Linked DNA regions of Notamacropus eugenii. The protein of the gene in region 2 interacts with the protein of the main gene of each other region in a biochemical or structural test. Links are inferred from orthologs where the notes say so. Each region holds a gene or a part of one and is shown on either strand. Other genes may lie near its edges.

Region 1 (16,437 bases), on a different chromosome or scaffold from region 2:
CCAAGAAAACCCCGAATGTGGACACAGAGAGTCAGACACAACTGAAAAAACACCCTTCATGCCTTTCTCTGCCCATCATCTGTCTTCTCTCTCTATGGAGGTCTCTCTCATCTGTTTTCCTCCTCTCTGTCACCCTCTATGTCTGCTGCTCTCTCCCTTTCTCTCTCTGTTTCTCTTCTCTGCTTGTCTTCCTCTGTCCTCTTATCTCTCCCCTCCCCTTTCATTCTCTCTCACCCTAGTCTCTTCTTGTCTCCTCTTTTTTCTTCTCTATCTCTCTGTTGGCCTCTGTGTCTCTTTGTTTTTATATTCAATTCATTTTAATTAAGCAAACATTTATTAAGTTCTTATTACATGTAAGGCCCTATGCTGGACTCTTGGGAAAAGAAAGAATGAAAGAAAGAAAGAAGGAAAGAAAGAGGGAAGGAAAGAAGGAAGGAAGGAAGAAAAGAAAAGAGAAGGAGGGAGGGAAGGAAGAAAGGAAGAGAAGGAGGGAGGGAAGAAGGAAGGGAGGAAGGAGACACAGAAGGAGATGTTTCCTTGCCCTTTAGGAACTTACATCCTAGTATTATTATTTACCCACAAATAATAATAGTGAACCTAAAGACAAAGACACAAAAATGTTCTAAAATATATTTAAGCTGGTGAAGTCACGTGGTAGGGAGAGGTTCAGGAGGGCTCCACAAAGGAGGCGGCACCCTTCTCTTGAGAGTCCTGAGAGAAGAGAAGACTTCTGAGAGGCCCAAGTGCAGAGACAGGACATGGCAGGCATTCAGGCTAGCCTGTATAAATGTGTCATTGTGGGAGATGAGAAGAATGAGTAGGGTCTGTTTGACTGAAGGTAGACTACATGGAAGGGAGAAATGTGTGAAAAGGGAGGGTGCAGCCAGATCTGGAAGAGCGTTCAGCTTCTCAGCAGATCCTAGATGGAATGGGAAGCCCCAAAGTTCTTTGACCAAGGCAGTTGATTCAGTCACCTCCACTCTTTAGATAATTGACTGCTATGCAAAGGATGGATTGGTGAGAGAAGAGATCGTAGATAGACAGACTAATTCAAAAGCAATTAAAATCATCTGGGCAAGAGACAGTGAGGTCCTAAGTTAAACTGTGTGAGTTTGGTGAAAGGAAAGAGGGTGCGGATAGGATTAACAAGACTTGGCAACAGACGGGAGGGAGAAGGAAGAGTCAGGATGACCCTGAGATTTGGGATCTGACTCACTTTCTGTTGGCCCTCTGCCTCAGCCTCTATTTCCCCGTGTGACTGTATTTCTCTTTGTTGGTCTCTGGGTAGCTGGCTCACTATCTTGTCTGTTCTTTCTCTGTCTTTGGATCTCTGTCTGTTTATCTCATTCCTTATGTCAGGTCTCCCTCCTCCTTCCATCCCTCCCCATCTCTGCAGATAATCTTCGGCTCAGTGATTTCTCACACTAGTGGTGTGGATGGGAAGGTCCCCTCCAAGTCTGGAGAACGTGGATTCATCTCCTGTCTCTGACACATACTGACTGTGTTACCTTGGACAACGACACAGTGCCCTCCCCTCCACATTGCAGAAAAGGTATCCTTGGTATCCAGAAAAGATGCCTTGGTAAAGAGCATGCCCTAGGACAGTGATCCCTTAGCTGACTCCCTTACAGCTGAGGGGAATATGGGATCAGTTTGCCCAGGACTCTGGTCACAAAAGCCCATTTCTTCTGGGCTAGGTAAGGGAGGAGGTCATCTATGGCTCCATATGGTATACTCCCACACTCTCTAGATGAACTTCTGGAATGTGGAGCATCTCCATCTGCATACTTCCTCCTTTCACCATCCTTCATCACCTGTGAGCTTATACTTGGTCTGCCTCAGGGAGGTCTATATGCCCTGGAGATGTTGGGACCAAAGATCAGACCCGAGAACCCTCAGAAATCACTAAGTCCAAAGTTCATTTTACAGGAGGTGGGAACTGAGAGCTAAACAGGAGATGGTACCAGAGAGATGAGCATCTTGGTTTTAGGAGAGAAATAAGGCATGGGGTGAGGTGGAGTGGGACAGGAGCTGCTTAAGCATGTTTGAAGGGCATCAGGAAGTTCTGGTCCCTGAGTAGCGCAGAGATCCATCTCTTCTCTATCTCTGAGGGCCTCTTCTGCCCCCTCCCATAGGTACTTCCTGTTTCTTCCCCACCCCCACTTCCAAGGGAGGGGTAGAGCAGCAGGTGCTGGAGTGGGGGATGGGGCTTGTTTACTCCCCAGCTTGGGGAGACAGTGACAGCTGGGGAGGAACACTGGAGACCTGCCCAGCTGGGTGAGTTTCCAAAGAACTGAGGATTCAGGTCCTAAGAAAAGAGACAGACGTGAAGCTCAGACACCTGGGCTGCTGGGTGAGGAGGGTGTGGTGGCTAGGCAGTGAGGATGTCCAGGGCTAGAGGATGGGGGTGCTCAGACCTCTAAGGTGGGGATGGCTAGGTTTCAGAACCCCTGGATCTCCATGGCATGGTGTTTTACACACAGACCATCAGTCCATCCCGCCCAATGGAGAATGGAACCCTTTCCTTCCCCATGGGCCACAGATTTATTATCATTAGTAGCTATAACAAAACTTAGGGGGAGGGATCCTGCTTCAAGCACCTCCTGCATTATAGGGAAAGAGTTATAGGGGAGAAAGTTAAAAGGGATCAGGAGTCAAGGCATGAGGGGGATAGAGAAGGGGGCATATCATGGGAGAGAGGAAAACATGTCAAACGTGGAAACAGAACATGAAATATCAGAGCTGGGAGGGATCTTGGAACAGGGAATATCAGAGCTGGGAGGGGCCTTGGAACAGGGGATGTCAGGGCTGGGAGGGGCCTTAGATACCATCTAGTCAAACTGACTCCTGAGGAAACTGAGAGTGGGACAGTCAGAAAGACCTGAAGGGGGCAGTTTAAGGGAGGGAGGCTGCTTTGAGCAGGGCCAGGAAGGGCCATCATGGCTTCTCTAGCTGGACATCTCCCACCCTGAGGGTAGTGGCATCCTGGTAGGTCCCCTGCAGACCCCGGGAGATGTCCTCATACATGGCGCAGTCATCGAGGTTAAGACCCTAGAAGAAAGTGGAGGAGGCTGCAGGTTAGCCTTGGTGGATGGAGGTGGGAGATGTCTCCTGGGACCCTCCCTCCACCTTGGGTCAAGGGAGTCTAATCCCAGCTCCCTCCCTAGTCTCTCCACCCCTAAAAGGGCCTTACCTCATATAGGTTCTCATCATCATAATAGTCCAAGTGATCCACAGCATATCTCTCATTCTGCCAACGCTTCTAAAGTGGAGAAAAATGTGGGAGTGGGGAGAGATCGCCCAGAGAGGTGGAGAGGGAGAGAGATTGTCCAAAGAAGTAGATAGGTGCCAGATCAGAGGTGGGGAACCTGCAGCCTCGAGGCCACATGTGGTTCTCTAGGTCCTCAAGTGCGGCCCTTTGACTGAATCCAAGTTTTCCAGAACAAATCTTTTTATTAAGGGCATTTGTTAAGGGCATTTATTAAGGCCACAGCTTCTCCACCCTTGGCCCAGACCTATGGTCACAGGGCTGTGGGATTTAAAAACTGGAAGAGACCATGGGATTCAGCGGACCTCGCCCCCTCTTTTTCCAGAAGAAGAAGCTGGGGCCAAGAGAGGTACCCTGCCCAAAGGCAAACATCAGATCTGGGATCTAAAGCCAGGGCCTCTGCCTGAACATCCAATGCTGTCTCCAGGAAACAGCAGCTGCTTTCCCATACACTCTGCCTCCAGGAAGCTTCCTCTCTCTCTCTCTCTCTCTCACACACACACACACACACACACACACTCATATACTACATCACAATCACAGTTACACACAAGCACACAGTACACATACCACACACTCATAAACATACCACAGACACACACACTCACACACACACACACACTCAGACACATACATACACTCATACCACATCACAATCACACACACACACAAGCACACACCACACACACACACTCATACATCACACACCACACTCATACACACCACACCCACTCACACCCAGACATACACAAGCACACATCACACATACCACACACACATAAACATATGCAAACACATCACACTTACACACACATACACAAACACACACTCATACATCACACACCACACTCATACACACCACACACACATACACATCACTCTTACACAAACACACATCACACATGCCACACACATGCCACACATGTAAACATATCACACACACCACACTCATACACACCACACACATCCACACACACAAACACATCACACTTACACACACACATCACACTTACACACACATACACAAACACACATCACACATACCACACACATAAACACACGCAAACACATCACACACACACCACACTCATACACACCACACACATCCACACACACAAACACATCACACTTACACACACATCACACTTACACACACATACACAAACACACATCACACATACCACACACATAAACACACGCAAACACATCACACACACATACACAAACACACACTCATACATCACACACACACTCATACACAAACACACACTCATACATCACACATACCACACTCATACACACTACACACACTCACACACATAAACACACATAAACACATCACACTCACACACACATACACACTCATATATCACACACACCACACACATAAACATACACAAACACATCACACTTACACACACACTCACATACACACACTCATACATCACACATACCACACACATAAACATACACAAACACATCACACTCACACACACACACACAAACACACACTACCCATCCTAAGGTGACCTGTGCCCTCCCTTTTTTCCCATTCATCTCTGCTAACTAGATTCAACCTTTCTAACTCCCAGAAATGGGTACAGAGGGGCACTTAGGCAGTGGGCCCAAAGAAGGGCAGGGGGAATGGAGTCCATCAGGGCATGACCAAAGGTCCCATGGGGAAAGAAAGAGTAGTGGTGAGAGACCTGGATGGAAAGGGGAAGGGAGGGGAGCCCAGGGCATCAGAAGGGCTTAGGCCCAAGGGCCATGAGAGCCTGGGGACCCCAAAGCAGCCTTACCCTAAAGAGCAGCAGTGTGCCAGGGACGACTGCACAGAAGAGCAGGATGATTCCCTCTGCGGTGATAATTCTGTTTTTTGTGCCTTCGCCCATGTCCAAGAAGGGTCTGGGTATTGGCTCTAGGAGAGGGAGGATGGGAGGGGAGAGATCACTGAGGGTGACAGCCCCACCTGCACCAACCAGCACCAAAATGCCCAGGGTCACCTGCCCAGGCCGAGTGCCAGCTCCGGCTGCTTGTGTCTTCCAAGGCAGTAGCCAGTGAGGCAAGGAGGGAGGCAGGAAGTTAAAGGGTCAGACGTATCCCAGCTCCCCCTAACCTTTTAGGGTCTGTGCATTGTTTTCTTCACAGGAGAGGGAGAAAGGGTGGCAGTGAGGCCCAGACTTGGTCCTGGCTCTGCCTCCTATCAGGTGGCTCAGTGGATAGAGCTCTGGGCCTGGAATCTCATCTTCCTGAGTTCAAATCTGACCTCAGACACTGACTAGTTGGGTGACCTGGGCAAGTCACTTCACCCTGTTTGCCTCAGTTTCCTCACTTACCAAATGGGGATACTGATAGTCTCATTGCTAAGGATCACAAATTCAGAGCTAAGAGACCCATGAGATCATGGAGTGCAATTCCTCTGTATCACAGATGAAGAAACTGAGAGGCCCAAAGAATTCAAGTGACCTACCCAAGGTCACTCGGGAAATAAGTAGGACATTCAGGACTCAAAGGAGAGTCCTCAGACTCCAAAGTCTGGGGGAGGAGGGGTCTTCCATTTGCATCATCTAGTGGGTTATTGTGAGGAAAGAATTATGAAGAGCCAAGAGATTATTCAGATGGACAGACCTCACTGGCCCTGTTTTACAGAAGGAGAAGCTGAGAATTGCCGGGAAAGGTAAGTGGCAGAGTGAGATTGCCTCTGAAACCTCAGTCAGGAAGGAAATCTGCAGCCTTTTGCCGTGGCCTCATCTTCCTTGGGAGAGGACAGGCTGAGGAATTAAGACAACTGTGTTCATGAGAGGTACGGATCCGGGAGAGGATGGTCATGGCAGTTAAAAAATAGTAACTCACTTATAGAGAGTATCGGGGCTTGCAAATCACCTTCTACCAATCAATTCCTCAAAACTTCTGGCTGTCTGGGGGGACTGGAATCCATGAGCCCCTGGAGGAGGTGGGGGAGGTGCACTGGGAGACCCAGAGGTGAAGTCTGGGAAGGAATGAACTCACCACGAACCCTGAGGTAGGTGCCACAGGACTCTGAGGCTTGATCATTCTCGACAGAAACTTGACATAGGTACATGCCTCCGTCGCTCTTGTTTGCTGCCAAGATGACCAGTGTCCCATTGGGATGAATGAATTTCTCCACCTTTTTCCTGGGCCATGTGAAGCTATCCATGTTGACTCGCCACCAAGTCACGTTGGCATCGGAGCTCCCATCGTGTTCGCAGTGCAGCAGGGCCGTGCCCCCCACAGGCACAGTCACGGAGGGCTGGCCAGGCTCCACTCTCAGACCCCAGGTGAGGAAGCCTAGGGGCAGGGGCAGAGTGAAGGAAGAGCCCAATCAGAATCAGCCTCCTAACTTGCTGCCTGTGGAGTGAGCTCCAACCTGGGAGCCAAAGTTCACAGAATTCGGAGCCTCTTTCCTTCTCTGCCTCTTACTTTCCTACTTGGAAAGAGGAGATTCATTTCAATTTCTGAACTCAAGCTCTCCCTGTTCTGGCCTTCTATAGTATGTCCAAAGGGCTCCCCCAGCCCTGACATCCCCTGTTCTAAGGGCCCTCCCAGGCCTGACATTCCATCTTCTCAAGGTCTTACCAGCTCTGACTTTCTTTTCCTTTGGCATCTCCCAGCCCTGGCTGGTATACAGACAATTAGAGCCAGAGTTGAGAGACTTTTTAATCCAACCCTTGTGAGTTTAATGATGAGAACAGGCCCAGAGAGGAAAGGGGGCTTGCTCAGATGGAACTTCAAATCATTGGCCCGTGGAGGAAGGGCCCATACCAGCTATTAGCCCAACCCCCTCCAAGGCCCTCGGATTCACAGGAGGAGAGAATGAGGCCCCAGAGGACCAGGTTTTTCCCCAATACCACAAGAACAAGGCAGGGGACTGAGGAAGATCTAAATAAACATGAATTAAGTGCATGCACAAGGCTCCCAGGTCATTTGACATGGTACTTTCTACTATATCTCAGTGAGACAAGGAATTTTAAAAGTTGGGGTACCCCCCCCCAATTCTCCTTCCTCAAACCCACTATAGATTGGGGGATGGGGAGGGAGAGATTACTTTCATTTCTTCATTTGGACCTGGGTAAATATAGATGGGTGATCGTGGGCAGATGTGGGCCTGACATATCAAAGGGGCATCTTGTTCTCTGTTCCATTGCTCTCTCTGGCTTCCCCAAACCCTTTGGACCACCTTTCCCTCTCCTCAATTTCTTACTATCCCCAGAACTCAACCTGTTTTCCATGTTCCTGCTGAAGGGTTTAATGGAGGCCCAGGTAGAAGGGGCCGAGACCTGAGCTGGGTGTCAAGAGATGGGAGATCCAATCCTTTGTCACTCACTCAACATGGGACCTTAGGTGAGTGCCTTGCCTCAGTTTTCTTGTCCCTAAGATGAAAGGGATGGTCTTCGTGGTCTCTCTGTGGTTTTGTGGTTTGATGTTTGACCTTGGACCTCCTCTAGATCTCCATTTCTCCCTCTATAAAGTAACAGCTGTCTTGATATTCCATGAGTCCTGCTCTCAAAAGGCCCCACGTCTGGACATAACTAGACACCCAGTCCTTCCCCAGGGATGTCACTGGTTGCTCCCTGTGCCAACCTCACCCGCAAACCCTGTCTTTATCTCAGAACTTCCCCAACCCCTAATCCCCTTTCACCTTGATTCAAACACTTACCAGGGTTCAGAACAGAGATGAGGAGCAGGACCAAGGGCGGAATGAGGCTGGACATCATCCCCAAAGGGTCCCCAACTAGCTGAGATCGTGCTGTGGAAAAAGGAGAGCTGTCTTTGCCTGTCAGGGCGTGGCTTCCTGCTGCACCTGGATAGGAGATGAGCTCCACTGCTCCCCCAATGCCAGCCCCCCCAGGGCCAGAGACAGAGAACAGAGCTGGGTAGACCTTTGGGACAGAGTATGTTGGAGCTGGGAGGGTCCTCAGGCAAGCAAAGCCAGAGGGCTTATCAAGTGTTTTACTCTGGACCGAGTGCTGGCAATATGGACATGAAAACAGACAGTTCTTATCTTCAAGGAGATGCCATTCTAAAAGGCTCCCGAAGATGGGGCAAGGAAGGCTAGGGAAATCTAAGGGCAGTGAGGTTAATGAGGCCAGTGCCCACAATGGAGACCCCCAGATGGAGCTCACCCATGGGAGAACAGGATGGGGGACAGTAAGGGATGTATGCATCACATGAAGAGGGCCCTCAGGCCCTGAGGATAAACTTTCAAATGCCTGCTGCCTGCCTCTAGGCAGGATAGATTTTCCCCTTTCCACAGGAACTGATTATTAAAGGAACAGGATTCTAAGAGACTGTGGACCCTGGGCATCACTTTCCCTGTGCTCTGGGCTAGAAGAGCCTCCATTTGGAGGCTTGGGCTTGGGCTCATATAGTGAGCTCTATCATGCCCACAAAGTCTTTTAAAAGTAGAGTATTGTAATTGTCAGGGAGAAATCCTGGCTCTGCCAGGTGTGACCTTGGGTGTCATCTCCCATCCTGGGTCTTTGCTTCCTTTGCTATAAAATCAAGAGACTTAACTGGATGAGGACCTTGTTGTGTGCCATGAAACCTTTGCTGACCAAGCTTGGCCACAGCTAGGCAGCTGGGTGACTGCTATTGCTCCATCTATAAGGAGCACTTCCCCCTGTGTCAAGATGAAACCAGTCTCTAGCACTTCCACCCATGGCAGCTAGTTCAGCCCTTGGGGGCCAAGCTGAACAAGGCCACCAGATCTAGAATCCCAGATTTCCTCTCTGGGCATATCTTCCATGTCTCTGTATCTCTCTCTTTCTCTGTCTCTCTGTTTCTCTCTGTCTCTCTCTCTTTCCCCCTCCCCCATGTCTCTCCACCTCCCGACCCTCCCTCCTCACCTAGTCTCCATCCTGACTGTGATGTCCAGTCTCTCAATCCCTCCCTCTACTCCTTGGTCATCACCCCTGCTCTGGATATCTTTCCTCACTTCCCCATCTTAACCTTTGGGTCTTCATGAATCCCTTACCCCTTGCCATGGTCATTCATGTCTTGCCAATTCCCCTCTCTCAATCTATGGTTACCCCAACATCCAAGTTTCCTTTAAAACTCAGCTTGAATGTCACCTTCTACATGAAACCTTTCCTGACTTCCCCCTTCCCCCTGCTAGTGCCTGTATCCTACCAAAAGTGCCTTGCATTTATTATAATTAAGAATAAGAATAAAATGATACAATTATAAAGTGCTTAGCACAGTATTCGACACATAGTAGGCACTATAATGTTATTGTTTAGTTGTTTAATCAGACCTGAGTTCAAATCTCACCTCAGACACTTGACACTCCCTAACTGTATGACCTTGGGCAAGTCACTTAACCCCAATTGCCTCATCTTGGGTCATCTCCAGTCATCCTGATAAATATCCAGTCACTGGATTCAGATGGCTCTGGAGGAGAAGTGAGGCTGGTGACCTGTATAGCCACCCTCACACAAAACAAAGTCAAGTGCAAGTCATGTCATCACTTCTCTGATGGCATGGTCTTCTTTGGCAACTAAGGATGAACACACACTCACAATTGTGTTCCCACTCTTCCTGACCCCATTTGGGGTCTTCTTGGCAGAGATACTGGAGGGATTGACCATTTCCTTCTCTGGTTCATTTTACAGATGGGGAAACTGAGGTTCAGAAACTTGCCTTAGCTTACCCAGCTGATGTCAAGATTGAACTCCCAGTCCTACATGATATACTGTTGCCTCTCAGATTGACCCTGGAGGGAGTCGCCGCTGTTATGCAGCCTGAGTTGGCTACTATGTTATGTTCTCCAATATCAACTGGGTCCTCCCTACTACACGGCAATCCTTCAACGCTCACTGTATACTCTCATTCTTTTCGGATGTCCCTCCTTTCCCCCCCAGACCCAGAATGCTCTCCTTCCTCTGCTCTGCCTACTGACTTCCCTAGCTTCCTTTAAGTCCCAATTACAATCCTATCATCTACGGGAAGACTTTCCCCAATCTCTATTCATTCTTGAATCTTCCCTCCGTTAATTATTTCCTATTTATTCTGTGTGTAGTTTGTTAGTATATGTTTATTCACCGTTTATTGTCTCCTCCACTAGGTTGTGAGTTCCCTGAGGACAGTGACTATCTTCTGCCTCTTATTGTATTCCCAGAGTTTAGCACAAATGCCAGCACATAGTAGGGACTCATTGATTGATTTTATCCAATGTTTAAATTCAGAATCAAAAGAAAGAAAACCGCTTCCCTTAACCCAGTCAGCCCCTAAAGTTATCCTCCTCTATCTTTTCTCTACTTAACTCTAGAAAGGGTCATTTCCACTCACTTCATCCATTTCCTCACTTCCCACTTCTCAATCCCAAGCAATCTGATTTCTATCCCCACTATTCAATGGGAAAAGTCCTCTCCCAGATTACAAATGGTCTTCATTACCTGACACCAATGGCCTTTGGTTAGTCCTCATTCTGACTTCTTTGAAACGCAGGTTACGGATGTCCATCCTTCTCCTCCTGGGCACTCATCTTTCTTGGTTTCCATGACATCGCTCTCTCTTGTCTGGATGAGCTTTCTCAGTCTCCTCATCATCCTTCTCTCACTAAGTGTCAGCATCCTTCAAGGCTCCATCCTGGGCTCTCTTCGCTTTTCTCCACATTCTCATTTGGCAATCTCTTCAATTCCCACAGATAGAACTATTTCTATGCTGATTCCTTCCATATTTAGAAATCTAATCCCATATCATCAACTGTCTCCTGGACGTCTCAACCTGGATGTTCTGTAGGCGTCTCCGACTCAACATCCCCAAACCAGCCTATTTCTCTGGAAGGCGCTAGATTTGGGTTCCCAATTTGGAGTCATGATCAGTTCTTCATTTTACATTCTGTTCCTTATCTAGTCAGCTGCCAAGTCTTAACAACTCTTCTATCCAGCTCCTTCTCACACAGAAGTGTGCTAGTAAATATTTAACCACCAAGTTTGTGGTTCTCCATAAGATACCCTTTTAAGTCTAATATGCATTATTAACATTTTCCTCCATTGCTTTAAGTCTAGAAATCAACAAAATAGTAAACCAAGCCCTGACTTATAGACATTTTCTTTTTTCTTTTCCTTTCCTTTCTTTTCCTTCCTCCTTCCCTCTCTTCTTCCTTCCTTCCTTCCTTCCTTCCTTCCTTCCTTCCTTCCTTCCTTCCTTCCTTCCTTCCTTCCTTCCTTCCTTCCTTCCTTCCTTCCTTCCTTCCTTCCTTCCTTCCTTTTGCCAATATCCAAGGTATAAATACCACACTGAAAATTTAATAATTGGCTCTCTTCAGCCCCTTGTAACTTTTTAGACCCTTGCAATTACCCCCTAATTGGTGCTTCTGTGTCCACTCCCTTCTCAATCCATCCTCCTCAAAGCTGCCAAACTGACATTGCAAAGAGGAAGATGGGACCATGTCACCTACCCTCCCAAAAATATTAAATGACTTCTAGGATAAAATAGAAACCTTTCAGCTAGGCATTCTGAGCCTTCCACATTATGATTCCTCCCTAGTTTTCCAGTCTCATTTCATATTTCACCTCTCTATCCAGTTGCACTGGGCTGTTTCCATCTCTTACATCAATGACTTTGCTTAGGTGGTAGCCCCTGCCTGGAATGCCCTCCCTCCTCACCTCCAGCTCTTAGAATCCTTAGCCCTCTCAAAGTCCAGCTCAGGTGCTACCTGCTCTAAGAGGCTTTTTCTGATCCCCTCCCCCATTGTTAGCACTCTCGCCTTCTTGAATTTACTTTGCATTACTTGGTATGCAAATATCAGTGTATATTTTGAATCTTCCTCAGGAGAATGTAAGCTCCCTGAAGTCAGTCTGTTGAGCTTCTAGCATGGTGCTAGAACTCAATGTTTGCTGAAATGAATTGAGTATGTCCCAGGAATGGAAAAAAGCTAATATGAATCCACAGAGGTGAGAGGCAGAATATCCAGCGCAGAGAACCCCCTGTATTGGAGGTTTGACTAGAGTACAGAATTCATGGAAAACAGTAGGACGCCATCATTGTGGGAAGGCAGGCTGAAGCCAGGTTGTGGCAGATTTTAAATGCCAGGCTGAGAGATCTGAGTTTTCTCCTCAAGGAAACAGGGAACCTTTGAAAGGTTTTTGAGCAAGTGATGAAGACAATTGGATGTGTGTTGCGGACAATCTCATTGGCTGGTCAGTCAGTCAATTAACATTTAATAAATAATTACTATGACAGGCAGTATGCTAAGTGCTAGGGTTACAAAAAGGGGCAAAAGACAGTCCCTGGCTTAAAGGGGCAGGGAGGAGGGTAGGGGAAGGAAGAAGGGAGGGAGGGAAGGAGAGAGACAGAGAAGGAGAGACAGAGAGAGAGAAGGAAAGAGGGAAGGAGAGAGCAGGAGGGAGGGAGAGAGAGGAGAGAGGGAGAAGGGAGATTAGAAGCAGAGAGGCCAGTTAAAGGTCTACTGCAAAAGTTCAGATGACATGGTGCCTCTGTGAGTGGCCAGAGACAGGCAAAAGGGGAAACAAGATGGAAGACTGAGGGAGGAAAGGTGAGGAAATGAGGAAGACAGATTGAAGGAAAGGAACAGATGGAGGATTGAGTTTACTCATCTCTTTTCCTCTCTCTTAATCCTCATTTCTTTCTTCTCAATTCTCCACCTCTCTTTTCAGTCTCTTCTCTTCTCTCTCTCTCTAGCTCTCTCAATCCACACCTCCCTCAATCATCCATTTCTCCCTCTGTGTGTCTCATTTACTCATGTCCCTCACACCTCCTCATCTCCCTCTTTCTCTCTCAATCCCCCATCTCTGAGGGGACAGAAGAGCAATGCCCTAGAAGTGCTTCCTAAAATCTCATCCTTGCAGGAGAATAGAATGGGTACCCAGAGGTAAGAAATGGCTGATAATTGGATTTGGCTGGAGGCCTCAGAATCACAAACTCACCTCTGGGTTCCAAGGGACTTCAGAGGCCAACTAGTTCAACCCTTACCTGCCTGAGAATCCCCTCTCCAACCTACCTGACAAGTGATCATCCAGCCTGCACCTGCACACCTCCAGCAGGAGGGAGCTTGTGAGTCCTGGGGCAATCCAGTTCACTTTTGGACAACTCTAATTAGAAGGAATTTTCCCCTTTACATCAAACTGAAATCTGTCTCCACAGCTTCTACCCATGACTCCTTGTTCTGCCCTCTGGAGCCAAGATGAACAAATATAATGGCCCTTCACAGACTTAGTCAGGTCTCTGTTGGGGGTGTAAGCTCAGTTTTCATGTGAATAGTCTTGGGCAGGTAAAAGTGAGGACTTCTAAACCTCAGAGTTCTCACGAGGCCCCCCAGGGAACAGCTGGGAATTGAGGCGTGAAACACGAGCTATCTCGTTTTTCCACCTCTTCTCAGTGGGAAACTTGCTGGGGAGAGCATCCCACCCTTGAGATTGTTCACGTGAAAACTAAGCTTACACCCCCAACAGGTCTCATTCCCCACCCCCACTCCATCCCAGTCTTCTCTAGACTAAACATTTCTAATTTGTTCCTCTAGATTTGGCGTGATCTCTGTGACATTCACCATCCTAGTTGTCTTCCTATACTCTCCAGCTAATTTATGCTCTTTTAGGGGGTATATGGGGAGTTCAGGAGGAAGAGCAGCTTTCCATCTTTGATGTCCACATGATTCACTCAACTCTCACCCATGGTTCCAAGAAGCAATATCATGGGCAGCAGCCACACCCCGGTAAAACTATCCTAGCACATGGGCCAAACCTGGTTGATGGAAATTGGTGAGTTAGGGGGATGTCTACCCCAAGCGTGTGAAGACTTCCCATGGCAAATGGTTAGATGAGAACAGTATGTCCCAACAGCCATGAAGGTGGCTAAAGCAGGCTCTGTGGAGCACTTGGTCAAACATGGAAGACACCAAGGATGTCTATTGCATCCTGGGTCATTGCCAATGGTCTTGGCTTCTGTCTTGTCATTGGATTTAAGAGACAGCGAGGATGGGGACATTGTATCACTCTGCCTCACATCCAATTCACGCACAAGTCATCACTCTGTGATGTCACTGGTCCTCTTCAAAAATGAAGGACAAGCAAGAATGCTCTTTTTAAAATATGGCACCCCTCCCTCATCTCTCCACTCCAGATATAATCTGCCTAGGGCAGAGTTCAGTGGAACCATTACCTCCTATTCTCAGAGGATAATGTGCCTCTCAAAATGCAGCCTCCCATCAAGTTAACCTCTGGGACTGCCACTTCACACTAGGGACTCATATTGAGCTTGTGATCCACCAAAACTTCCAGAACTATTTTAGTGGAACTTTGGTCTATGTCCTCTTCTCCCCACCTTGCAGGATGAACGTTGATTTTTGGAACACCAAAGTAGAACCTCACATTGAACTTTATTTTGAATTCAATCCAGCGTTTTAACCTCTTGGGATATTTATGATCCTGACTTTGTTGTCCCTTGAGTTAGTTAACCCTCCAGGCTTTGTGTCATCTGTGGATTTGGTAGGATAGAAACTGAGGAAGAACTGTGTTTACACTATACTTGCTTACACACAAAATTGTGTATTTCAGAAGGAGGAGGGGTGATTGACTAGGATCCCCTATAATGATTTACAAAACATTGATCTGAAAATCACTTTGTAAAGAAGACACTACAACCATTCCAAGACAATAGGGGTAGGTACTCTTAATTTGTACTTCTCATTGGATTACATTGGACTAGGTTGAATGAAAGTTCTCACTGCATTCATTGGAGGACTCCACTGGAAATCTCCTTCCATGTTGACTCAACAATGACTATTCTTTGGATTCAGTCACTGGGCACATTCCAAATCCACCTGATCAGATCATCCCCTGAGTAGAGGATTTAACACCTGGGATCCACTCTCCACCCCCTCCACCCCCCCATCCCAAGCCCTATTACAGAAGAGCACTGCTGGGACTCCCCAAACCAGATTACAATATAATTGGGAGATAGTTAGCAAAACAAGTAAAAATACAGTAAAACATATGTAACATTACATTTTAAAACTAAATCAACATGTGGCCTGCAGGGGTCCTTATGTGTGGGTTAGTGGCCCCATTACCTACTTGAGTTTGATACACTATATTATTTACATTTCCCTATCCCATTCACAAGTACATCACAAGCTGCTTTGTCAAATGCTTTGTGTCATATTTGCTGATAGCATTTCTCTGATCTACCAGGGAAGCAACTATGGCAAAAAAATAAGAGTAAAAACAGTCGAGCTCTGTTGCTTCTTTTCCAAGATATACCATGCCAGTAGAACTTTGGAACAGAAGCCAAGTTCACTGGTCTGTAGTTTGTCTTCCTGAACATCAACTGTAAGTTTCTTCTTTTTAAAAAACATTTATTAATTTATTAGTTTACAACATTCACCTTCATAAGTTTTAAATTTTCTCTTCCTCCCTCTCCTTTCCCTCCCCAAGACAGCATGCAATACGATATGGCTCTACACATATATTCCTATTAAACATATTTTTTACATTAGTCATGTTACATAGAAGAATTTTAACAAATGGGAGAGACCATGAGAAAGAAACAAACAAAACAAAACAGAAGAAGAAAATAGCCTGTTTCACTCTGCATTCCAATTCCATAGTTCTTTCTCTGGATGTGGATGACATTTACCATCAAGAGTCCTTTGGAAAAATTTTAGGTCCTTGCATTGCTGAGAAGGGCAAAGTCTATCAAAATCAGTCATCACACACTGTAGCTGTTACTGCATACCATGTTCTCCTGGTTTTGCTCATTTCACTCAGCATCAGTTCATATAAGTCTTTCCAGGTTTTTCTGAAGTCCTCCTGTTTTTCATTTCTTATAGCACAATAGTATTCCATTACATTCATACATCACAATTTGTTCAGCCATTCCCCAGTTGATGGACATCTCTTCAATTTCCAGTTTTTGGCCACCACTAAAAGAGTTGCTATAAATATTTTTGCATAGATATGGGTCCTTTTCCCATTTTTATGAACTCTTTGGGATACAGCCCTAGAAGTGGTGTTGCTAGGTCAAAGGGTATGCACATTTTTATAGCCCTTTGGGCATAGTTCCAAATTGCTCTTCAGAATGGTTGGATCAGCTCACGGTTCCACCAGCAATGAATCAGAGTTCCAACTCTCCCACATTTATCATCTTCCTGTTTTGTCATATTAGCCAATCTGATAGGTGTGATGTGG
Region 2 (16,437 bases):
TATAATTCATCCCAGCTCTATTTGTACTGCCGCATCCCTGAGCTCATCCTAGGGCTGGGGACGTAATTGATAAACATTTAATTTCATAAGACCAATGGAAAAAAAAGCCGTATAAAAAAAATGAGGTGATGGCTATACTGCAGAGATCGTTAAACACAGGGCTATAACTTTAGAGCTAGAAGAAACTTTAGGGATAATTGATTCACACATTTTACAGATGACAAAACTGAAAACCACAAGATGAAGTGCTTTTTCCAAGGTCCTAGAGGTAACTTACAAGTAGCAGAACTGGAATTCTGACTCCATCGCACTGACCTCTCTTTTCACTGCACTAGGACAGGCAGTTGGCATGAGAAGCAGCCAGTTTCCTTCATCTTCCTAAGAAAGGGGAAGAAGACACCACTATGGTGGATTCTCAAAGATCCCTGTAGGACTTTGTCCAACCCAGGTCTTGCCAGATCTCTTGCAAGGTTTCCTCCTGAACACCATCCCCTGTATCCACAGTAGGTAAGACCACAGTCAAGGGCAATGGGTTATGTTCCTGGCAACTTTGGGAGCAGCAGAGGATCTGGACCTCTGTTCACTTTTAAAGAATTACAGAGATGAGGTATTGTTGCACCATTAAAATAATTTTGAATATGCAAAATACAGACCAATATGGAAGCATATATGAACTGACACAAAGCAAAGTAAGCAGATTCAAGAAAATTATACACAATGACTCTAAAAACGAAACCAGACACAACTGTCACAACAAATCTTGGCATGGAATGCTGTTTAATGATCATAACCAATCTCAGCCCTAAAGAACAAGTGTGTAGTCCCCTCCGTTCTTTGTGGAGGTCAGAATTATGGACATGGAACATGGCACATACTGTTGGCTTTGGTTGACATATTGGTTAGTTTGTTTAAACTGGTTTTTTCCCCTCTTTCTTTTTTATTCGTTATTCTAAGTGTATCCATTACTCTCCTGGCCCCTGGTCTCTACTTCCTGAAGATCAAATATGTTACATTTCACCTTTCCCCCAAGAAAGGAGACTTTGGGGTGCCTAGTCTCTGCCAGTAGCTCAAGACCACACCAAGTATGTTCACTCAATTTTAGGGGTCCCTTCCACCCCAGGCCCATTTAAGAGCTTAATCAAAATAATATTTACAAAAGAATATTTATTTCAAAGGTATAATAAGAAAAAAAATACCCTCCTCCATACCTGGGGGACATAATACCTCCCTTCTTATACTATCCCAGTCTCTGGGATAGGAGATTAAATTTGTATCTCAGTTCCTATATAGCATGGTCCTGCCAAGTTCCAAAGCCACTCTCTCTCCCAGGCTGGCATCCTGGCACCTTGGTTTCTTAGGATTTCTTTGTTAGGCTGGCAGCCTGGTCCAGACTCTGCCCCCTAAGCCTAAGGACAAACAAAAACAAACACCCAAACCTGATTGTCAGTGTTCAGAGCCTAAAAGGAAAAGAGGAGAGATAGCCTTTCCTCTACATCCTACTCTGTGCATGATGTCCATGCTTTGAGTGAGCAGGGCCTTCATCCCCTAGATACTACTTGAATGAAAATGAAACTGGCCCAGTCTGATGGTTTTAAAGAGGGATTCTGTTCCAGCTACAAAGCCAATGGAAAGAGGCTGCTCCCATTGGTATGATAGGGGAATTTGGGCTGTCTCTCAGAAGCAGGTCTCTGCCACCTTTGCCATGGGTGCTTCCATCTTAAGTGATCTGGGCATATGTAAAACCCAGTTAACTAAGAAAGTGGTACCTTTCTAACTGGGAGAGAGGAAATATTGGGAAATAAGAGAGATTAAAAACCAAACATATGAAGGTAAGTTTGCTTTAAGAATCATAGAATTTCAGAGCAGGAAGGGTCTCTGTCTAGTCAATCCATGCCAGAGCAGGAATCTCTTTGATGAGATCCTCAAAAGATAGATATCCAGTGTATGTATGCTTAGATTCCTCCAGTGATCAGGAATTTACTACCTCCTAACCACCTGTCCCATTTTCAGAGAGCTCTGTTGGGATCAAATACAAACAATTAAATCTCTTCATAGCCTTGTCCCTTTCTACCCTTCTATCCTTTCCACACAGTACTTCCTTCCTCACACTATGTGATTAAGCCATATTGTACAAGTAGCCCTTCTGCACATAGGATCCACATAGAGGCCTTCGAACTGGTTTTCCTCTGTTTGTCCAACATACTCTCTCCTCTTGGAGGTCCTAGGTTTCTTCAGCGCTCAGTTCAATGACTGCTTTCTACTTAGAGTCTTTCCTCATCTGCTCTCCTCCCCCACTAGCTGCTAATATACTGGTTTTCCAAACTACCTTCCATTTGTTTTCTATACATTGTGTGTGTGTGTGTGTGTGTGTGTGTGTGTGTGTATTCATGTCTCCCCATTAGACTGTAGAATCCTTGAGGGATGGGATTTTCTCACTTGCTATTGTATCCCTTCCCCCTCCAACTTAGCAGTGCTTAACATTTAATAAATGCTTTTAATTATTTGAATAGGCAATTATTAATTATATGAGCTGAAATCTGTTTCCTTGTTACTTCTAATTGTAAAGCAGAAATTGTGGTTCCTTGCCTTCTCTCCTCTAACACTTCTACCACCTTCCTTGGACACTCACTAGCTCACCCCTGGACTATTACTGTGCTGCCTGCTGATTGGTCTCCCAGTCTTAGGTCTCTCCCCATTCCAGTCCATCCTCTACTCAGCTGTCAAATTAATCTGTCTAAAGCACAGATCTGACCATGTTACTTGCCTGTTTCACAAGTACCAGCAGTTCCCTGTCACCTATAGAATCAAATATGAAACCTTCTGCTTAGAAGATTCAAAGCCTTTCACTACCAGGGAGCATCCTACTTTTCCAGACTTCTGCTCTGTCCTATGTACTCTGTGATCCAGTGATTCTGACCTCCCTCTTGTTCCTTTCACATGACCCCCCCTCTCTAGACTTTGGGCATTTCCACACGCTATTCTGCAAGCCTAGAACTCTCTCTCTCTCTCTCTCTCTCTCTCTCTCTCTCTCTCTCTCTCTCTCTCTCTCTCTCTCTCTCTCTCTCTCCCTCTCCCTCTCCCTCTCCCTCTCCCTCTCCTTTCCCCCTCCACCTCTCCTTTCCCCTTCTTCTTCTTTACCTCCTATTTCTCCTGGCTCCTTTCAAGTCCTGGATAAAATCTCATCTTCTACAGGAAGCCTTTCCTCATCCCTCTTAACACTAGTGCCCCCCTCTATTTATTACCTCAAACATATCATCTTTGTGTGTGTATGTATTCTTATTTTTTATTATCTTGTTTGCACATAATTGTTTCTGTGTGCTTTCCCCTTTCTTCTGCCTCCCTCCTCCGCATTAGAGCAAAAACTACTTGCAGGTAAGGATTGTCTTTTGTCTTTCTTTGTATCCCCAGAATTTAGCACAGTGTCTGGCATACAGCAAGTACTTCATAAATAATTATTAACTGACTGACGTTGATGCTTGATAAACTTTTTATTGCTCTTTCCTCCCAAGATGCTTAGTACGGAGAGGACTTGGGCTCTGAATGAAAGAGTATGGAATTTCTGAAAGGAGCATTTGGAAGAAGAAAAAAAAGGGACAAAAACTCATATTGCTGTGGACACATGAACTTTATCCTATCAAGTCTTTGGGAGACTGAGATTTCTTCTCTCTTTCTGCTAAGTTAGTCAATCAACAAACATTGATTAAGCACTTATTATGTGCCAAGTACTGTTCCAAGTGCTAGGGATACAAAGAAAGGCAAAAAACATTCTTGCCCTTAAGTAGCTTATAGTCTAATAGAAGATAATAAACAAACAATAATATACATACAAGATATAGATAGCTCAACAGATTGATTGATCAATTGACCAATCCATAGATAGACATATAGGCAGGATACTGAGTAGTGATAGAGCAATTCTGCCAGAGTATGAGGAGGTCTTATTAACTTTGTTGATGCCTGACTCACACCAAAAAAGAGATTCAACCACTTTGACCAAGATACTTCTACACACTTGGTCTCGGTTTCCCTCTTTTATATAATGAGGGGAGTGAATTGGATGATACCACTTCCTTTCCAAATCTAAAATTTTTTCTTGTTCTGGAGTCAGAGGGCCTGAGTTTGAATCCTACCTCATATCCTTCCTAACTCTGGGTCTTTGGGAGAATCACTTAATCTACCTAGATTTCAGTTTCCTCATCTGTTCAGTGAGGGGACTGACCTCTGAATTTGAGGTCCTTCCAATTCTTAATCTTTGTCCTATGACAAAAGTCAGACGTCTTAGAGAACCAAAAATGTATTGTCATTGAAATCAGTTTTTACCTTGTATATGCCGCAACCAGCATAGGGTCATGTGATTCTTAGATCTTCAATAAATGCTTATAGAATAGGATTATGAAAGTCCCCCTACCAGGGGTCTGTAAACATGATTGGAAGGAATTTATTTTCACTAACTACCAACTGAAATTGAGCATTTCCTTCAATTATTTAAAACATTACTCTGAGATGGAGTCCATAGACTTTACCAGACCATCCAAGAAGTTTAAAAATCCCTGTTCTAAATACTTGTCAAGTCGCTGAGAGATTTCTATTCCATCAATGAGTTACTGTAATGCACTTGGTCAATGGGGCTTTCTTTGGCTGTCGTAGTGAATTAAGGCTGATATTAACTTAGGCCACAGAATTTTAAATAACTAGAATGGATAAAGTAGGAATTACTTTACCTTTCTTCAGGTAGACTAAGTCCTTTGCTTGGATAGTATCCATCCCATATACTCCCTCATTTTAGTCATTTAAAAGCCATACCTCTTCTCTCTTCCCTTTACTAAAATGACAGTGGGTCTTCTTTTATTTTTTTTAATTGTGCCCCTTAAAACAGGAAAGTGAAAATGCTTGCTCTCTACTCCATTTCCTTCTCCTTCCCTTCTCCCTCCCCTTTTCCCTGGCAGCCTCCTCCTCTTCCTCCTGCTGCTTGCTTCTCTCCATCCAGACAGACCTTTGATCTGGTGTACACCTATTTCCAGCAGCCAGCACCAAGAGCTATCATCTTGGATGCTATAGTTAAAAAGCCTTGTAAGAGGTTCCTTCTCAGAAGATAAAAGCAAAGGGGGAATAAAGAGAAGGAGAAGAGGAGCTAGTGAAGAAGGAGGACTAGAAAATGAAGTATGGGGGCAGAGGAAGGAAAGAGGGGGAGAGAAAATGAAGGGGGAAGGAGGGAGGCAGGAGAATATAATGTGTGTGTTACACCAAATACCCCCAATTAATCGAAAGTATATCCTGAAAAGTGAGACCAAAAAAAACCCTTTTTTACATGAACTTTTCCATAAAGACTGTAATAAAGTTTGAGTATGAGGATAGGAAGGGTGGAGTAAGGCAAAGGGCAGGGAGAACCCTGGAGACACATGTTGCCTACTTCCTCATTTTCCTCAAGGCTGTGGCTGGCAAGAGTGGGAGAGGTCATGCTTCTGCTGACCTTCCAAGCAGGAAGCTCCAGATGACCCCCTCTCCTTCTGCCTCAGCCCAAACTAGCCAGACTCAGGCTCTTAAGACCCAGCTTCCAAGGACTGCGTTGAAGCAAGGCTCTTCAGGGCTCTTGACATATGGGGAGTAGAAGACAAAAAAAGAGTGAGATTGTCTTCTGGGAGCTACACCCCACCTCTATGAAGGCAGTGACACCAGTTCTGAAAATGTGTGCTCTTGTTTGGCCATAAAACTGTCTACACAGCTGGAACTGGGTCACCAAACACAGCCACAGGATGCTAGAACTGTCAGGGGACTGGGAGCTCATCTAACCCTGCCCCTTCATGTCACAGATGAGGAAACAGAGGCTCCAAGTGGTTAGTGAACTGCATGATAGCAAGTTGGTGGCAGAACTGGGATGTGAGTCTGGTTTGGGCCCTTTTCTTTCTGGCCTGGTTTATTTTAATGTGAGGTATTCCTCACACTTAGCATTCACTGCTTAACAGTGTAGACAGGCAGGGCCTTAGAAGCATACTCAGATGCAAACTGACCTCATTTCAGCTCCTCCTGGATCTCTTACTAGTTTCAAGGAACTGAACAACAGTATACAGCAGCATGGCACTGTGGGAAAATCCCCAAACATAGTTCTAGTCTTGTTTAATAGTTGTGTGACTTTGGACAAGACCCTTCATCTCCGACCTTCAGTTTCCTCTGGTATATAAAATCTGAATGATAATATTTATACTAACTACCTCTAATTGGGAGGATTACTGTAAGTTAATATATGTTTGTTTGCTTCCATATTAATATAAATGATATTTTACTACTTGTACAATTCATATTTAAAACATTTAGTAACCCATACAGTGTGAATTTATATATATGTATGTGTACACGTAAATATATGTGTATGTATATACACATATTCTTATTTGTGTCTAATGGTAGCCAGCTCTAAGGTAGGGAGAGAGAAAAAATGGGGGGAAAAATTTACTTGATAATTTTATCATATGTCTAAAAATAATAGCAAGTTACACATAATAGATTCGCAGGTTCCTATGCAGTCATCTTTTTAAATTATACTATGTTACGGAAATGCGTGTTTTATTCCATACATTAAAAATAAAATAAATATTTTAAAAAATGAATTACTATTAACTCATATACACATCAAATCTAATTTTCACATTGCTACAGATTTTGATCAAGCCATCTTTGAGGCCAAAATTATAGTTTAATTCCATGATCCGATTCACTCAATTATACATTTCCTATTTGTAGTCTGTGAAGATTATGAAGACACAGCCTCAAAGTTCATTTCTTAGATCAAAAATTCCTTGAGGGCAGGGACAAAGTGTTACTTCCTATCTTTGGGAGAGGTCTAGCACAGTGTTTTGCATATTTATAAGGTGTTTAATGAATATTGAGTTGATTTATATGCCTCATACTCTGTTCAGATGGAAACATGACCTGATTACCTGTATGTATTGAATCTACTACCTTGTGATTGCCAAGTGTATTTTCTGGTGTCTTCAGTTTTCATTTTCATGATTTGCTGATTGATCATTAAAGATGACTGCAGTGGACAATAGTCCACTGTGATGCTCATTCATGTTCTGACAAAGTCCATTCCATGCTTAACTGGAGATTTGAAAACTCAGACTTTCATTTTCATCAAGCAGGACTTATAACAGTAAAAATAAGAAAGACAAATGAAGGCAAAAAATAAAAAGCAGAAGTGTGACCTTCAACATCAGGTTTCATTCTCTGGGGAAATGAAGGCTGCCTCTACAGGTGCTCAACAGGGGACTTGGTTTAAGGAGGCTGGCTGACTCTTTCTCAAAGTGATTCAGTTGAAATTTAGCTTTCTGCCTCTCTAAATCTAGTAGTGGGGTTCAGATGAGCAAGGTCTTTCTTACCTCTTATTTCTTTAAAAATAAAGTGCATTGATATATTTTCTTTTTATGAAACTTCATTTCCAATACATCCCACGCTCCTGCCCTGCCAGAGAGTCATATCTCAAAGCAAAGAATCAAAAAGAAAGAGAGGAAGGAGGAGAAGCTATTCAGAAACATTATGCAATATAGCAACAAAGTCTGGTAGGCTGTTAATAATGCCTCTTGTCAACAACTTATTTCAAAGAGTCCAGCAAGTATTCCATTTTATGTGTTGTAGATACATCTAACCCTGTGAACCATTTCACAGATGAGGGAACAGAGGCTCCAAGTAGTTGGTGAATTGCATAGCAGCAAATTATTGGCAAAAAGTCCCTGCCCTAAAGGAACTTATCTACTTTTCTTTAACATTTTTCTGTTTTTTGCTTTTTCATTGAAAGAGCATCTTGACAAATTTTGAACACAATTTAGGACTTAGTATTCCCTCAAAACTACGTGAAAGGAATCTTTTTTTTTTTTTGGAGGAGAATGGAACAGAAGGCAAGACTGTTCAGAGATGGCTAGCTTAATAACCTTGGGTTGTCAATCATCTCTATTGCTGGTAACCTAGGTAGAAAACAGGGGATCCACCCCTCAGAAACTCTAATGTGCTCCTGAACTTCCGGTTGAACAAGAAATGAGGCAGAGTTTGGATGTGACTAAGCAAGGCTGCCCAAGTTTCCAAGTTTCCTTGAAGAGAATTAGAAACTCTTAGAGAGGGAAGCTTTCCATTCAACCTCCTCTCTGTAATTCAGTTTAATACAGTTCTCCCCTACTCATCCTTTAATCCCAGAAACAAGTCCTGAGGGAAGAAAATGAATATTAACATAACACCTTCATCACTAGGAGTGCTCTCTTTCTTAATAGTAAGTGTAAGATGTTCTTAGTTGAATGTATGCAAAGCAGATGGGGAGGAAAAAAATTTAATAAGAGATTTCCTCATCTGTAGAATGAGGGGGTTGGACCTACAGGCCTCTAAGATTTCATTTAGCACTTAATATATGATCCCAAGTCTGAAGCGCCCAAATGGAAAAAAGGATGGTTTTTCCCCCTTTCTTCTCTCCATGATTTTTTGAAGTCAAACCATCCTCCCACCTCTGGAAAAAAAATTGGGGGTAGGGACCCAAAAGACTTTTTCACTCCTTCTGAAGGAGTAAAATGAAGTGGAATTCTCAATCTCTCATCCCTCTTCACCCATCCCCTTCCACCTCCAGCCCTGATTTAGAGCCAGTGGGGATTGACTCAATCCTACTGAGATTCTGCTAGATGAGGTTCCCCATTTCTGTTTCCAGGGAAGGAAGTTAACATCACCCCAATCCCTTCCTCTCTCTTTTCAGCCCAGCCCTCAGTGGAGCAGTTAGTACAGGTGGTAGAAACTAAAATCATATGTAGGCAGAAGTGGGCCCTGACTATTATCTGTGCCCAGGTGCTTAGGGTCAGGTAGATTGGAAAAGTGCCATCCATTCATTTCTGGAGAATAGGTGCCCACCCTTGCACAGAGACATAAAAATATCCTCAGATAAAAATGCCTTTGCTTGGGGAAGCTCAATGTTTTCTTTGGGGTCTTTTAGTGGAATTTTGTCTTTGAAAAGTACAGCTAGCAGCTGGCAGTTTCAACCTACTTCCATCCAGATATAAGAGGGAAAACATAAGCATATCATTGTATTTATCTCACTGCCTGCAGCCCAGGAGGAAAACCCCTAAATTATCTTGAACACAGGGAGGGCAATTCAATTCAAAAACCTCTCAAGGGCATTTGCTCGATAAGCTACTTACATTAAAAATTCCTATCACCGCTGTCTTTTTGTGTATTGTTTTTAGAAAATTTTATTTGGTTTTCGGGAAAACCAGAGTTGTGTAAACAGACCATCTGCAATAAAGGGAGTATCGATTTATATAGATGTATTTAAAAACCCATCTAGCATAATTCCAGCTTTGCTACTTAGTTAGTACCTTGGTGAGCTCTAGCATCATTTGATTTTTCTGAACCTTAATGTCCTCACTGTAACAGGAGGGAGTGGAACCAGAGGTTCCCTCCTGCTCAAGACTTTTCTGACATTCCACCAGAAGAGCCCCTTCTGCATTCTCCTCCAAAATTTCCCGCAGCAGAGCCTCAGTGCCCAGAAGTGCTGACCAGCAAACAGACAGATCCCAGCTCTGGCTACAAATCTCAGTGTGTATGAGAGGGAGAGAGAAGGAGGGAGGGAGGGAGGAAGACAACCGGAGGAAAATTTGCATGCCCAATCAGTTTCAGAATTAAAGTTTACACCATGCCAAGTGAGTGGGCAAGGCTGATGAGATCACATGACTGTGTAGAAACATGAAACTTGCCAGTGTGCTCCAGCCAGTTTTACTTCTCCTAGAGTCGGAGCGGAGCGCTCCCGGAGGGACTCGCATTCACTGTCGGGCTAGACTCCCCGGGCTCCTCCTTGGCTCTTTTAACCAGAGGCTCTCCGCCACCCTTGCTGTTCGTGTCAAGACAGGCTAATGTTGCCCCTGGAGGGGTTTTGGTTCACCTTGTGACTGGGAAAAGGAAAGGAAAATGGAGAGGCTTAATAGGATAGCTGTGCCAGCTGGGCAGAAGCTGAGGTAAGTTTTCGCTCGTCCCGATACTAAAGTCCTGTTATCTAAAGACAGTGACAAATCCCATAGGGGAAAAAGTTTTCTATCTCTCTACCTATTTTTTTTTTACTTTTCTTTTTTGCTATTTTTCCATTTTTCTTTTTCTCTTTTCTTTCTTCCTTTTTTCTTTTATCCTGGCAGTTTTTTCTTCCTTATCTATTTTTTCTTCCTGCTCATCTTTTTCTGTTGTATCTATGCTGTTTCCTTCCTATCGTTTTTCATTCTACATGTCTATTTTCTTCCTACCTATCTTTTTAAAAAGTTTCTTTGCTGTTTTCTTCCTACCTATCTTTTTAAAAGTTTATCTACATTATTTTCTTCCTATTTTTTTTTTTATTCTACCTACCATGTTGCTTTCTTCCTACCTATCTTCTCTATTGACATTGGTTTCTTTTCATCTTTGTCCAAGTGAATCTGCTAAGTGGCCTTCAGTCCATGGCCACTTTAAAAGCAAAAGAAGACAAAGAGCACAAAGTGAAAGCTAAAGAGACTTAGGCGCTTTTTAAGAGCTGGTTTTCACGCTCTCTGATTCCAAGAAATTCTGCTAGAGGTTCACTCACTGGTTCTGGTTTGGTTTTTTTATAATGATGATTGTAATTCTGTGGCTAGATTGTGGGCTATGTTGGATGAGTCCAGATATGGATACATTCTACACATGTGTTAGGATGATAGAGATCATGTGGTCAAATGGGCCTGGCATCATGAAAATCTGGAATTAAATTCTAATTATAACACTTATCAACCTCATGACCCTGTGCAAGTCACTTATCCTCCATGTGTTTCATGCAACTCCCTAGTACTAAATCATAGATGGATTGCCTTCTTTTAATTACAGACTCTTTACATATTCATATATTTTAGGATTAGAGGTAGTTTTTCCTACATCACACCATTCTAAGTAAAATCAGGGAGGCAAAATCCTATTGTAGTGTTTGATTTTTTTTTAAAGTCCAAATATCATCAATTGATGTAGTAAAAATGGGTCTCTTGAAAGATAGAAATTTTTTCTGGACTATGGAAAAGACAATTCCAAGCTTTGGTTTTAAAAACTTTTATATAAGGATATTTTAACATCAATGCAATTCACTAATTATTGCTTACAGTTTGGCTCTAGAGAAAGGCATTTTAAAGAGGGGTGTATTCTAGCAAACTTCACATGGGTTTTTATGATGAAATTACATATTAGAAATCCTCCTCCTCCCATCTTAGGGATGCTCTGATGTACACAAGAGAAATAGTCATTACTGCTGATGATGGCAATTCAATAAAAGTAGGACTTCTCTGAAGTTCTTAGGACTATGGAGGACCTTTGTGTCTCTTAAATACTGATTCAGTAATGACAGTAATTCAGTTCAATAGTAATTACAGAAAAGCTTCTATAGGCTAACAGAATCCTAGAATAAGGGAGGGAGAAGGGAAAGGAAGAGGGAATAAACGTAAGTCTCTATAGTACCTATTCTCTCACTAAAAGGACAAGCCATAAATGAATTGATTAATTCATACAAGGGAGGATTAGATGCAAATGTGAAGGTTACAGATGGAGAATCTTGTCAGACTTCAGAGAAAGTAGACATCAATGTGAAATGGACTGAAGAAGTTTAAGAAAAACTTCCTGAAGGTGGCACTTGAGTCGCACATTAAGGAACAAGGAGGATTTAGATGGAAAAGAGGAAGGAGAGAGAATGCTGGGAAGTTGAAACAAAATGTTCAGAGGCATGGACATGAAGTATTTGCTGGACAATAAGACCTTATGACCTTTCCAGAGGGTTCAAGTTAGAGAATAGTAGGAGACAAGGTTGACTAGATGGGTAAGGATAAATTACAGAGAGTCTTGAAAAACAATGGAGAATCTAGACTTTACCCTTTATGCCAGTGGTTCCCAGGCTGTATGGCCTACAGATCATTGGGAAGCTATTAATTATCAGACCCCAATCTGTGTGCACTAAGCACTAGTATTACATCATTGTGTATATTCTTAGTCAGTGGATGCTAATAGTAATGTCGTGTGGATCCATGAAAATGTTTTAATATTAAAAAGGGGTTCTCTTACTATAAGGTTGGGCCACAGTTGCTGTATACAAAAGGGTGTCCCTGAAGGTTGTTGAACAGTGGAGAAAAGATTAACCTGGCAGCATGTGGGTTTTAGCCTGGGGGATAAATCGCTGGGTGATAACTTCTGAGAACCTAGTTGGGTGGCCAGTCATAGTCATCTAGCCGTGAGATTTTGATGTCCTGGACTAAAGTAGCAGCAGAGAGAATAAAAAGACAAGCATTGATGTGAGAGATATTTCCCAGTGAGATTAGATAAGCCCTGATAAATATAAAGAAATCATCTTTAATGATGTCTCTGAAATGAATGAGGGATTTCAAGAGCTACCTTAAGCAATCACTGGTGGGGGTTTTTTTCAGTGAATTCAGATAAGAGACTAAGTAAAAGGCGTTAAATCTCTACCATTTTGTGCCCTGCCCTCCCTTTCAAATACAAGGTCTAGCTTGATTACAGAGTGGAAAAGGGAAGATATGTTATTGTAGATTACAGGGTAGTACATGGTGTGTGTGTGTTCATCCTTCATTGCTGAAGAAGACCATGCCATCAGAGAAATGATGACATGACTTACACTTGGCGTTTGTTTTATTGGGTTTTTTTGAGTGAGGGAGGGCTGTGCAGGTCACCAGCCTCATTTCTCCTCCAGAGCCGTCTGAATCCAGTGACCAGATATTCATCAGGATGACTGGAGATGGCCCAGGATGAGGCAATATGGGTTAAGTGACTTGCCCAAGGTCACACAGCTAGTGAGTGTCAAGTGTCTGAGGTGAGATTTGAACTGTGGTCCTCCTGACTCCTGTACTGGTGCTCTATCCACTGCACCACCTAGCTGCCCCAAGTGACTTGCCCAGGATTATACAGCTAGTGAGTATCTAGGGCTGGATTTGAACTCAGGTCTTCTTGACTCCAGGCCCAGAAATCTATCCATTGTACCACTTAGCTGCCCTGTGTAGTAAATGGTAGTTCTATTGTGAATAATACATAAGCTGGATTTGACCTGAATTTTTCACTTAGGAGACCACTATAGACATTGTAGGCCTTCATAGTTAGATGATAAATGGCTAAATAGATAGATATTGTATATGATAGAAATATGGTCACTTGTGATTGAGTAAACATGCTATTGAATGTGCTTTATCTGTTCTCACATCATTCACAAATGATTTTTAAAATTTTTGCTGAATTAAGAACCCTTTGAGAGTTCATGTTCATTTGAAATGAAGGCTTGGGACATGTCTACCTATTTCCATCCATTTTATATTTCATTATGTTTATTGTATCCATTCATTTCCTCATAACTTGCCAAGTAAGGAAACAGTGCAGATAAAATGCTGAGCCTATTAAATGATATTCCTACTTTTGGAGGCCTCTGGGAGCAGCTTTGAAGAGTTAGTTTTCAATGTCATTGTGAATTAGGGAAAACTGGTGGTCTACCAATTTTATAAATAGGAAAATTAAAGCATGGTGACATTAAGAGGCTTGTCCAATCTACATAGGATCTAGTATATCACTAATTCAGGGTAAATAATGCAAGAATTTTGGGGTACAGTGACTAGTATTATTAGACCAAATTCACAAAATCTCCATGATAACTTAGTAGATCTGGTCACATAATGAAATCATCTGTTGGAAAGTGGAGGGGCATTTCCCGAACAGGGAGATGGCATTCATGACTATTCTAAGATCAGACAGAAGGAAAACCAACCTAGATAAAAATTAAATTTGTTTTTCTCCTCTCTGCATCCATCATGATTTTCTTGGCGCCATTAAGGAAGTAGAGTGGGAGAATGCCAATACTAACAGCAGGCATTTAGGATGTTTTTTTACATATGATCTCACTTCACTCTTACATCTACCTTGTAGGTAAGTGATCTAAGTGCCCCTAATTTGAAGATGAGAAAACTAAGTGAAGAGAGAGAATTATGCATAGAGGAGAAATGGCAGTGAAGGAGTGCCTCTCTTCTCCTCCATTATACTGAAGACATAATTACAGTTCTCTGCTCTCCTGCCACAGTCAGTCAGTCAATCTACATTTATTAGGTGCCTACTATGTGCCAGGCACTGGGCTAAGATCTGGGGATACACAAAAAGGCAGAAGGCTGTCTCTCCTCTCAAGTAGCCCACAGTCTAATGAAGGAGACAACATACAAATAAATAAGTACAAATATGCTATATCCAGGATAAATTGGAAATAATCAACAGAGGGAAGTATGCTAGAATTAAGGGCGGGTCAAGAAAGACTTCCCGTAGAAGGTGGCATTTTGGCTGGGACTTGAACGAAGCCAGGAGGTGGACATGAAAAGGGGGAGTACTCTAGGCATAGAGAATAGTGAGTGAAAATGCCCAGAATTGGGAGATGGAACTGTGTGCAGGGTCAAGCCCCTACTGGGCACCTGAGAACTTTCCCAGTCTCCTAGCACAGAAGAAGTTAATGAATTAAAGAAAGTATAGCAGAGAGTTCTTTCTGAGGTTGACCCTGAGATATGAGAGGAGGGACAGAACGTTTGGCAATATATGTCTCTGTCATGGAGGAAACAAAAAAAAAAACCAAAACAAACAAACAGCTTGGCTAAGCAGATAAACAAGATGAGACAATTGAAGAAACTTAATATGGTAGACATTTTATTATATTTGCTTAGATGAATGAGTCCACTATAAATTAGATAATGTAAGATATTAAATGTGTAAAAAGAGGTGTGAATGTGTGAAAAGACAAAAGAGAATTCTAGGGGGGGCTAAAAGAGAGATATGGTGAGTCCCTGGATGTAGAACCAGGAGAATTTTGGAGATTGGTTTGCCTAAATCCTTCATTTCATAGATGAGGACACAAAAGCCCAGGTAGCCAGTAGCAGAGGTATGTTTTGAAACTAGGTCTTCCAAGTCTATCCTCAGAGTCCTTGTCATACACCATATTGCCCTGGGAGAGAAAAGTATATCAGTGCAAACAGAAGGTATGGATATCCCTGAAGTGAGCATGCTAACTTCTAATTTAGCAGTGAGTATATTCCTTAAGTAATTCAGATTTGTTGAGGAAATCATTTCTGAATCTTTCTGAAAGACAGTGCCGAGAGAGAACAGTTTGTTGTTTTATTTCCAGACCCCTTTCAGACAATGAAAAGAGTCCTTTGGGCAGAGGGATGATTCTCATTTCTCAGGGCCTCATTTTCCTCATTGAAATGAGAAAAAATAGTTTCTCAAGTACCTAGCATAATTCACAGGGTTGCTATGAGGTTCAAAGGAGGTTAATTTTGGGGGTGGGGGTGAGAATTGCAACTTTAAATGTACTATATGGATTTCAATTATAATAAAATGACTACAGTAAATGAAAATGAAGCCAATAACTTTAAACATCATGTTGCATAGTTTCTCTATACATACATCTATACATAAAAATTGGCAGTTTTAAAATTTGTTATTGGTTAATAAAGAACTTATTTTTTGCTTAGGGATATGAACCATTGAGTCACTGGCATGTTTTCTCTGTGTTCATACAAGTCTCAAGTGTACCAGTATGTTTCATAAAAACTCCCCTGCTAGCACATGGTGGCAGTAAAATAAATAATCATTAGCAAAGTGCTAGCTTTTTAGAAGCCTACATAAGATCTTCTTCTAGACCTTAGCAATAGAGAGTAGTGGTGAATGCCACTCATGGTGGGTACCATCCCACGGGTACATTTAGCAGAACTGAAAAGATGGGAAGGACATAGGGGAAGAGGCACAGAATGAGAAAGGAATTGGGTCTCCCAGAAGGCTTCAGTGTGGATGAGGGGACTTTGAAGTGAAGAGAGCTTTGGAGCTTTCCTGGGCAGGTTTTGTACCATGAGTGAAACTTCTTCGTGGAAAAAATCTGGGGCCATGACATCACCTCCTAGGACACATGGTGACAGGTGCATGGGCAGATCCACGCTGATGGTTTCACCTCTCAAGGACGTATTTATCCATGGATACAAAACAAAGGTATTTATATATACTACAAAAGTCAATACACAGGCACAGAGAAGGCCTGGTTGTTGAGCCAATAGACAAGTATTTCCCTTCCAGATTAATTCAAAATGTCCAAAAAGTGTAAAACTCATATTCAGTGTGATTTATAATGAATAAATTTGGAGACTTTTGTATGAAATATGCATTATCATAGCTATGTTTAGTTAAAAACTCAAGTGAGCTGGACATTCAAGGCTCAGCTGGAATTTTCTTGATCTTTTTACTCTGTAAAAAGAAAAAGAAGTCTAATGTAGTTATTGAGAGTTACTTGAAGGAAATATACACAGATAAAGAAAAATTCGTGGAAAAGAATGTCTATATTTTTAAAAAAAATACTTTGACAAGGATCTACATCAAAGTATGACTTAAGAAGAAAAGAAAACTGAAAGTATT

Evidence for each region.
Region 1: the proteins of BLNK (region 2) and CD79A form a complex in vitro, tested with the Homo sapiens proteins (2 studies listed by BioGRID). The link is inferred for Notamacropus eugenii from reciprocal best matches to the Homo sapiens genes BLNK and CD79A.

What each region holds. Positions count from the first base shown.
Region 1 is NC_092876.1:25,695,127-25,711,563, reverse strand, and holds CD79A (B-cell antigen receptor complex-associated protein alpha chain), read right to left. Parts: upstream 8,067-16,437; 5' UTR 8,005-8,066; coding exon 7,947-8,004; intron 6,578-7,946; coding exon 6,278-6,577; intron 5,187-6,277; coding exon 5,068-5,186; intron 3,263-5,067; coding exon 3,194-3,262; intron 3,052-3,193; coding exon 2,938-3,051; 3' UTR 2,487-2,937; downstream 1-2,486. UniProt on the Homo sapiens protein: Required in cooperation with CD79B for initiation of the signal transduction cascade activated by binding of antigen to the B-cell antigen receptor complex (BCR) which leads to internalization of the complex, trafficking to late endosomes and antigen presentation.
Region 2 is NC_092872.1:212,973,551-212,989,987, reverse strand, and holds the start of BLNK (B-cell linker protein), read left to right. Parts: upstream 1-9,703; 5' UTR 9,704-9,933; coding exon 9,934-9,980; intron 9,981-16,437. UniProt on the Homo sapiens protein: Functions as a central linker protein, downstream of the B-cell receptor (BCR), bridging the SYK kinase to a multitude of signaling pathways and regulating biological outcomes of B-cell function and development.